Macaca mulatta: one gene and its partner. The protein of the gene in region 2 interacts with the protein of the main gene of each other region in a pairwise test. Links are inferred from orthologs where the notes say so. Each region holds a gene or a part of one and is shown on either strand. Other genes may lie near its edges.

Evidence for each region.
Region 1: the proteins of CDC25B (region 2) and CDK2 interact in a two-hybrid assay, tested with the Homo sapiens proteins (2 studies listed by BioGRID and IntAct). The link is inferred for Macaca mulatta from reciprocal best matches to the Homo sapiens genes CDC25B and CDK2.

The regions. Positions count from the first base shown.
Region 1 is NC_133416.1:63,110,767-63,115,316, reverse strand, and holds the start of CDK2 (cyclin-dependent kinase 2), read right to left. Parts: upstream 3,071-4,550; coding exon 2,955-3,070; intron 2,213-2,954; coding exon 2,135-2,212; intron 2,025-2,134; coding exon 1,904-2,024; intron 1,302-1,903; coding exon 1,131-1,301; intron 598-1,130; coding exon 496-597; intron 1-495. Other genes in the region: melanocyte protein PMEL, read left to right, coding at 3,069-3,401, 4,012-4,138. UniProt on the Homo sapiens protein: Serine/threonine-protein kinase involved in the control of the cell cycle; essential for meiosis, but dispensable for mitosis. Phosphorylates CABLES1, CTNNB1, CDK2AP2, ERCC6, NBN, USP37, p53/TP53, NPM1, CDK7, RB1, BRCA2, MYC, NPAT, EZH2.
Region 2 is NC_133415.1:80,263,935-80,267,739, forward strand, and holds part of CDC25B (M-phase inducer phosphatase 2), read right to left. Parts: intron 3,753-3,805; coding exon 3,657-3,752; intron 3,128-3,656; coding exon 3,065-3,127; intron 2,904-3,064; coding exon 2,805-2,903; intron 2,608-2,804; coding exon 2,474-2,607; intron 1,442-2,473; coding exon 1,330-1,441; intron 1,195-1,329; coding exon 1,054-1,194; 3' UTR 1-1,053. UniProt on the Homo sapiens protein: Tyrosine protein phosphatase which functions as a dosage-dependent inducer of mitotic progression. Directly dephosphorylates CDK1 and stimulates its kinase activity.

The DNA of each region.
Region 1 (4,550 bases), on a different chromosome or scaffold from region 2:
ACTCCTGACCTCAGGTGATCCACCTATACCTCAGCTTCCCACAGTGCTGGGACTATAGGTGTGAGCCACTGCACTCTGCCTAAATCTGCAATTTAAATGAAGGGTGTGGATAAAGTGACCACAATTGTCTTCACTACATTGCTGGCACCACACAATAAGGTCTACAAGCCTTGAAATGAAGGCCTGAAATAAAAGAGGCACTAAATGGAATCATTCTCCCAAATATATGCAGACTCAGCTAAAATGGCTGCAGAAATGCTTTATGTCATTTCAGGGATAAGAGAAGTATACTAGGTACTAAGGCTGTTTGAGGATATCCTAACATTGTGGTTGATATTGGGGCAACAGTTGCATCCTTTCCCACCATTCCCCTTGGTGCTACTTTAGAGACAGACCCCTGTGATAGAAGGGCCATAGGTCTGGGCCAAGAAACAGTTCTGTTGTTCTTGAATGTGGGGAGGAGGGGGCTGGGTGAACTTGGGCAAGCCTCCATACCATCTCAGCAAAGATGCAGCCCAGGCTCCAGATGTCCACGGCTGTGGAGTAGTATTTGCAGCCCAGGAGGATTTCAGGAGCTCGGTACCACAGGGTCACCACCTGAGGGACAGGAATAGGGAGAGGTGGAGTGGTTTATAGGGTATGGAGATTCCCACATCTCAGTTCCCCAACACTACTCTGCTAACTCATGGCCTCTTAACAAGCAGTTTCCTTCCCTCCCTCTTTCCCCTCTCACTGATTTCCAGTCCATAGTTCCGGAGACCATATTTTCTGAACCCCCAATTTGAGATCTTCCTGGAAAAACTTGAGACAAATGGTCATAATTTGATTTCGAAATTTTTTCTTTTTGTAGATTTGTAGAGATGGGGTCTCGCTATGTTGCCCATGATGGTCTCGAACTCCTGGGCTCAAGTGATCCTCCCACTTCAGCCTCCCAAAGTACTGGTATTACAGGCGTGAGCCCAGTTAGCAACACAGTATGAATTCCATGCATGCCCTAAGACTCTTGAAGATGTCAAGAGATTATTTCTACCTAGTAAGAAACTGTTAGCCAGATATTTTTAGTAAATTTGTGAATACCCTAGTTAACACCTCTTGGGAAGCTCAGAGAAGAAAGGCATAAAGGGACTCACCTCATGGGTGTAAGTACGAACAGGGACTCCAAAAGCTCTGGCTAGTCCAAAGTCTGCTAGCTTGATAGCCCCCTCTGTGTTAATAAGCAGATTCTGAGGCTTAAGGTCTCGGTGGAGGACCCGATGAGAATGGCAGAAAGCTAGGCCCTGGAGCAGCTGGAACAGATAGCTCTGACAAAGAAGAAAGAGAGGACTGTGTTTCTCCATCACAGTGAGCAGACTGGGTTTGCTCTGTGACCCCAAAACTCTACTAAAGCCTTTACTATGTTGGATTATAGTTACATATTTACAAGCTATTTCTCCCAATGGACTGTCAGCCCAGAGAGGATAAGGACCAAGTCTTACTCAATTTTGCTTCCCTTTTCTACATGCTGTGCATTGAACAAATGTTTGTTAATAAAGTAGCTCTGGGAGTGAAGAATCCAGCCCTAAAATAGACAATAGAGACTTACTAGCTGGTTCTTCCACCAAACAGAAGGGCTTTTTGGAGGAATTTACCAAGTGCTCTCAAATCCCATTTATCTGAGTTTCATCTGACCTCCCACCTGAGTTGCTAGGTTGACTCACTAGAGTTTCAACTTTGATTGTTCAGTCCAACCCTAGGGTTAATGAATATAATGAGCAGGGAAGGAGACACAAAAAGAAGGGGAGTGTGTGTGTGTAGGAGATGAGGGCTCAGAAGGAGGCCAAGATCATAAAATATCACCCTGAATTGCCTGCCACCAGTACCCCAAGACATGCCCATGATGGGAGGAGCTGATGAGAAGCATTACCTTGATGAGGGGAAGAGGAATGCCAGTGAGAGCAGAGGCATCCATGAATTTCTTGAGATCTTGGTGCAGAAATTCAAAAACCAGGTAGAGTTTATTTTCTGTGTGAATGACATCCAGCAGCCTAGAGAAGTAAAGTTTGAGGAAATGGAGGTGCGAGAGAGAGAAAAGCCCACACTGTACAGACAACTCATCCTCCTTTCCAGCTGGATTGCCTCTCAGACACATACTCACTTGACAATATTAGGATGGTTAAGCTCCTTAAGCAGAGAGATCTCTCGGATGGCAGTACTGGGCACACCCTCAGTCTCACTTGGAGAGGTTGGGAAAGCAGAGACGGGAATATGGTTACAAATATTCCTTTTTCCCCCACCTAGTCATTTCTTTCCCCCAAGGAGACACCACCCAGCACCCCCTAGGAAAGTCAGAGAAAAGAAAGGGTGCTGGAAAGAGCTAATTCTTGGGTAGTCAGGGTGTGGCTTTTGCACATATTAAGGTCATTATCTTGTCTTTTCCCAGGGGTAGGTAAGTAAAGCCGTCTGGTGAAGGTAAAGCAGGGAGGCTGTAATGGGGAAAAAAAAAAAAAAAAAGCAGGAGTAGTCCCCAGTCTCTCCAGAGGGGCCAGTGAGGTTCAACTGCCATTCTTTGGAAAGAGGAGAGAATTCTAAGGTGAGGGTGGGGCAGTGAGGAGAGCTCTTCATTCAGAAAGGCGCTCCTCGCCGGTTCCCACATAACTCCACTCCATGGAGAGTCTTGGACCTCATCTCAGAGGCCTCCTTTCTCTCCCCGAGTCTCTGTGTTCGCACATTTGGGGGCACGATCCGGCTCAGTTTGGGAAGAAAGTTTTCCATGGATTCCACACCATCCTATACTCTCCCCAGGGAGTATAAGTATACACTCCACCTTCTACTGGCCCCCAACCCACCTCTCCACTTCTAAAGAAGTCCGTCCCTGTTGTCTTCCGGTCCCTGGACGGCTACCCGCCCGTGGGGGATTGGGGGGGGACAGTCAAGGAGGTCCCCAGTTAGGAGTCCCGGGTACAGAGGCCACTCACGTGTCCAGGCGGATTTTCTTAAGCGCCACCACTTCTCCCGTCAACTTGTTTCTGGCTTTGTACACAACTCCGTACGTGCCCTCTCCGATCTTTTCCACCTTTTGGAAGTTCTCCATGAAGCGCCAGCGAGTCGGGTCAGCCCGGCCCTGGAGTGGGGGCCTGGGAACCCTGCAGAAGGCGGACCCTGGCTCTCGGGGGCCGAGGAGGGGGAAACAGGGCCCAGTATCGTGCCCCCGGGTCGGGATGGAACGCAGTATACCTCTCGCTCTTGTCAATTTGGCCAACTTGAAACAATGTTGCCGCCTCCCCCCGAGTTCCCGACCGCCACCAGAAGCCCCGCCCCTGCTTCCCGCGTTTCCCTGGCTCCGCCCCCAGGCATTTCTATTGGTCAACGTCAGAGCCGGGGGGCGAGTGCAGCGCTCCTCCCCGCAAATGACCCCGCCCCAGGCAAGTTTGGTTCTTCGGGGGCTAGACAAATTTCTTTCTCGGTGGGGCGGCTGAACAGTCTTCCCAAGTACCTACTTTGGGTCCAAGTTTCCTACCTGTGTCTCTAGTCTGTAGGGATTTCTTGATTTCTAACTCACTATTTTCACCACTCCTGGGGAAAATATGTATCGACCTAAGGTTAAATTCCACCTGGCCCAGGAGCCTCCTTTGAAAAGCAGGAAACTAGGAATCTCGTTGTAAAGAATTCCTGGGCCTCAGAGGAGTCATTGCCTCTGCCTCATAGCCTACCCCGACGCTGTCTGTGTTTTGGGATGCAGGCTTCTGTTTCTGTTTTTTTGAGAAGTTCCTGGTTTAATTCACTCTCCCATGATGAACTGTTGTGTCTGGTATGTGTTATGCAGCTGCCTTTCAGTCAGCCCTTGCCCGGGAGTATATGAGAGTGACCCAGTGAAACCAGAAACTGCCATTGAGTAGCAGGATGGGAAAGCAATGTCTAGGGACCAGGATCCCTTTGTCAGTTTTTCCTTCTTCCTCTTCTCTGGCCCCTCCCAGGCCTTCTCTGAGGGAGAAGAGGAAGGGCTATGCAAATGAGCACCCTTTTCTTATATAGGGGCCTATCCCAGTCCCCCCAGTGCCTTTGGTTGCTGGAGGGAAGAACACAATGGATCTGGTGCTAAAAAGATGGCTTCTTCATTTGGCTGTGATAGGTGCTTTGCTGGCTGTGGGGGCTACAAAAGGTATGTGTGGATATGTGGACATAAGCAGGTGTGAACTTGGGGATGAATTCCCCCTGCTCTGGTTTCTCTCCTCCTAATGGGAGATAGCGGCAATATTTCAGGCGTCTCCCACTCATTTGATTTAGTGAGAATGTGGGCACCTGGGCTCCCTCCCTACATGGAGATTTGGGATTGAGCCTGAAAATAATCTCATATGCTTGGAGGGGCAGAAGAATAGAAGGTCTCTGTGGCACTGATTCTGAGGCTTCCTTGGCAGTGAGCTGGAGCAGGGGCTCCAAAGGGGTGAAATGTGCGGGAGACTCTTTTAAGAAATGTCTCTTGGGGTAGGAGATTTAAAGTGGGGAGTCAGAGAATGTAGTATTGGGTAAGAAGACTAAGGAGATACAATCCTCTCCCCTTGGGATGGGTACGG
Region 2 (3,805 bases):
GGTGCTGAGTCCTTGGTTTAGCTGCTTCTGACTTGAATAGTTCCTCTTGAATAGATCCAAACCCTAAGTGTAAATATTTCTGTCCACACAAATAGACACACATATATTCCTGCTGCAGGCTGTCATGCTCACCAAAATGCTTCCACCTGGTTTGGGTGTGCAAGGCACTGTGCATCCACAGCCATCTACGGCCATCCACCCATCCATCCAACCTTCCATCCATCCGCAACAAGACAGCAGCAAGTTCTGACCAGTCAGGCCCCAGGGTTCACAGCAGTAGGGGCTGGGCTTCCAGCAGGCTCACGATTCAGGCCTTAGCCCTTGCCCTGGGAGCCCCCAAGGATAATAACATCCCTTTCTGGGGCAACAAAACTGGGACTGAGTGGGTAACTGATATTTGACAGGGGAACCTAAACAGTCTACGGAAATGTCCTGAGATGGGTATAAAGTCAAACAGACCAAGCACACAGGTAACACTGAAATAGGAAAGAGTAAGAGCTTCTGTTCAGGCTGGAGGTGCTTGTATGGTGGGACAGGAAAGAGGAAAAGAGAAAGGGGCAACATGGCAGACATACCACGGTTCCTACAGAGGTTAGGGGCAGTCCTGGCCCGGGAAGTACACAGGGCAGAGAGCTGACTCCCAGGCCAGGAAGGAGGTTAGCTCTGACCCATCCTCAGGGACCATAGCTCTCCCCCAGCCTCCGCTGACACACACACAAAGGAGCTTTTCAGGACACAGGAAGATGAGGGGTTAACCCTAACAAGGAAACAAGAAGCTCCTTGAGGACACAAAATACTGCCTTTAGGCTGGTATTAACCCAACTTAACTAACTCAACAGACTGGGCTCTTCCAGGGGTGGGGGGCACCAGGATATGGAAAATGATGGGATGACACAAGGGAATCGGGGCTGGGGCAGACAGGCAGGACACCCACACCATCCTTCCCATGGACAGCACCTGAGGCCTCCAGCAGGCCCTCAGCCTGGCAGGCCCATAGGGCAGCTGGCTTCAGGCCTGGAAAGGCAAGGGAGGTAGCAGGACTGATGCAGGCCCTCACTGGTCCTGCAGCCGGCTACAGAGCTCCCGCCGGCTCCGCTCCCCAGCCCAGCTGCGAGTCTTGAGGCGGAAGGTCTTCAGCTCATCCTTGAAGGCCTCATGGTTCATGGGCCGGTAGTCCTGGGGTTCACAGAAGTTCTAGGGCAGGATAGGAGGGTTCAATGCAGTGGAATGGGTAAGTTTGACAGGGACCCAATCCTCCCACCCCCCTCCCATGGCTCCAGCCTGGCCAAGCCAACCCTCACAGATTGTGGCCTTCCCCACCCACGCTACCGGGTGCTGAGGGAAGAACTCCTTGTAGCCGCCTTTCAAGATATACATCTCGGGGTAGTAGAGGCTGGGGTAGTCGTTAACAGCACGGTCTCGTTCCCTGATGAAACGGCACCTGGGGCGTCATGGGCAAGGTGTGGTCAGAATGGGACATGCAGTGGCTTGTACATCATGGGACCTATTCCCCACGTCCCCTCCTTTGAGGGCCTTGGGGAGCCACAGAAGGCTTTGAGCACAGGAATGTAACCAAAAGAACACTTTTTAGATTAGTCTGGCTACAGAAGAGGGTGGGGAGGTAGAACGAAGAAGGTAAAATCAAGGGGATGAGCTCTCTGTTTCTAGAAAGCAGTTGCACCATCTTTGTTAGAGATATCTGTGCCTGGACCAGGAAAGGAGAAGCAGGAGAGGAGACAAGTGGGCCAAATTCAAGGGACCCATTCGGGCCACTCCTGGACAAGACCCAGTGAGGATCAGCGGTGGGAAGAAGGGAGGAGGAGGACCCAAGACTGAAGCCAGTGCCCAGGCCTGGTGCCCGGGTGGAGGTGGGTGCCACATGCTGGGATGCCTGGAGAAGATGGGAGGGCCACAGGGATGTGACTCTGTAAGGGGCATCTGGGTACAGATTCCCACCACATGGGTGAGGCCAGACTGGGGAGTCACTAGCAGTCTGATGGACCAGTGGCAACCCAGAAGGAGGCAGGGGTGGGAGGACAGATGGCCAGGCAGAACAGGAATAGGGACAGAAGGAGCTTAGCCAGGGAGGGCCCAGGTGCTGTGGATGCCAGTGGAGGAGGTTCCAATGGAGACCTAACAGCACTGAACATGGGGAGGGTCAGTGTCACTGGGGACTGACATGGGGCCCTTAGATTTCGAGAAAGACACTGCTAGAGACTTGGAACTAGATTTTCTGAGGGTGGCAGCAATGGATGGGGGGTGGACATGAGGTTTGATAGGCAGGACAGTGAGGGAGATGGGAGGTGGGTACCATGCGCAGTGAAGCGGGGCTGAGGTCAGCTCTAGGCCATCAGATGGGACAGAGTAGAACCCGGATTTGCACCCATGGCCATCGCAATGGTGCCAGCACCTGCGAGCCTGGGCAGGGAAGGCCGGGGCAGACACTAGCTGGCTGGGCGGAGCTGGGACTCACATGCGGGGCCCACGCTCAGATGAGAATTCACAGTGGAAAATGAGGATGACTCTCTTGTCCAGGCTACAGGGTGTGATGGGGCTCTGCAGCAGGAAGCTCTCGGCGTCGCGTTCCAGGGGCAAGTTCACCGCAGTCTGTCAGAGGAGCCAGAGGTCAGGCACAGCCCTGGGCCCAGGAGGCAGGCCCCTCCCCCTGCAGTCCCTGTCCTTCTCTTGGTAGGAACCCTCCCCACAAGAGGGGGCACCCGTCCTCCACCCATTCTTGCTCTTGGCAGAGCAAGGACCTAAACCAGGTGGGATCTTCAGGGCCTCTGCCCATTGCCCCACCTTACCTTGATGTGCCCGCCTTCATACTCATAGGGGTATCTGCAGTCCACAATCACAAACTTATCCACGATGTTGCTGAACTTGCCCATCAACAGAGCCACCATCTGTAGGAGGTCATGGGGGTTGGTTCCAGAAGGTCAGGCTGGCAGCCAGCAGGTGGCCCTAGCCTGTCCTCTGGCATAGCCCATACAGCCTGTCCCCAGGGAAGGTCAACAACGGAGCTACAGTCCCAAATATGCCTAGAAAATGGCGCAACGCTGTTTACCGTTTCTGGTGAGATGTACTTGAGGTCTTGGTGCTTTCCATCTACCGTCTGTAGGAGGAAGGCCTGAACGGAAGGGAAGAGATGCGGGAGAGAGGAAAAAGTTAAACTGGTAAGACCAGGAGCCTGGAAAGAATGAAGTTTCATTCCCAAACTCAGAGGCCACACCTGCTTTGGCCTTCAAATTCAGCTCTGGGTCCCATAGCAACTGAGAGGGCCTCTTGGGTCTGACACCCAGGGAACAACCTTCCAAGGGGAAAGGGAAATGAAAAAGGGAAGTGGAAGAGATGAACTCCACACTCTGCTCCCTACCCTCTGCCAAGCCCGAACGTGAGGCATGACGGGGTTCCAAGCTAGGTATGAGCTTGGAAATAAGATGGAGACACAACAGATGCCTGGACTGACTTGAGGTGGAGTCAGGAGACAAGGAGGGCCAGAGGGAGGAGTCTATATGAGAACAAAGGATGAAAAGATACAAAGGACAAAGAAAAGGGGAGCTCTGGGGAAAGGGAGAAACCCAAGCAGCTCCTAGGCTAGAGGACCCTTAGTCAGTAAGAGGTCAAGCCCCCAAAGGGCCCTTTGCTGCTGCAGGTACCTTAGAGTAATCTCCAATCAGCTGTCGGTGGTCACTGTCCAGGAGGTTCTCAATCTCATCGTGACACAGTGATTTTGAGCGGAGGACGCGGACTTTCTAGAAAGTGAGTCAGGTGGAGGCCAGGGTCAGGGTGGGGCTGCCCCTCAATG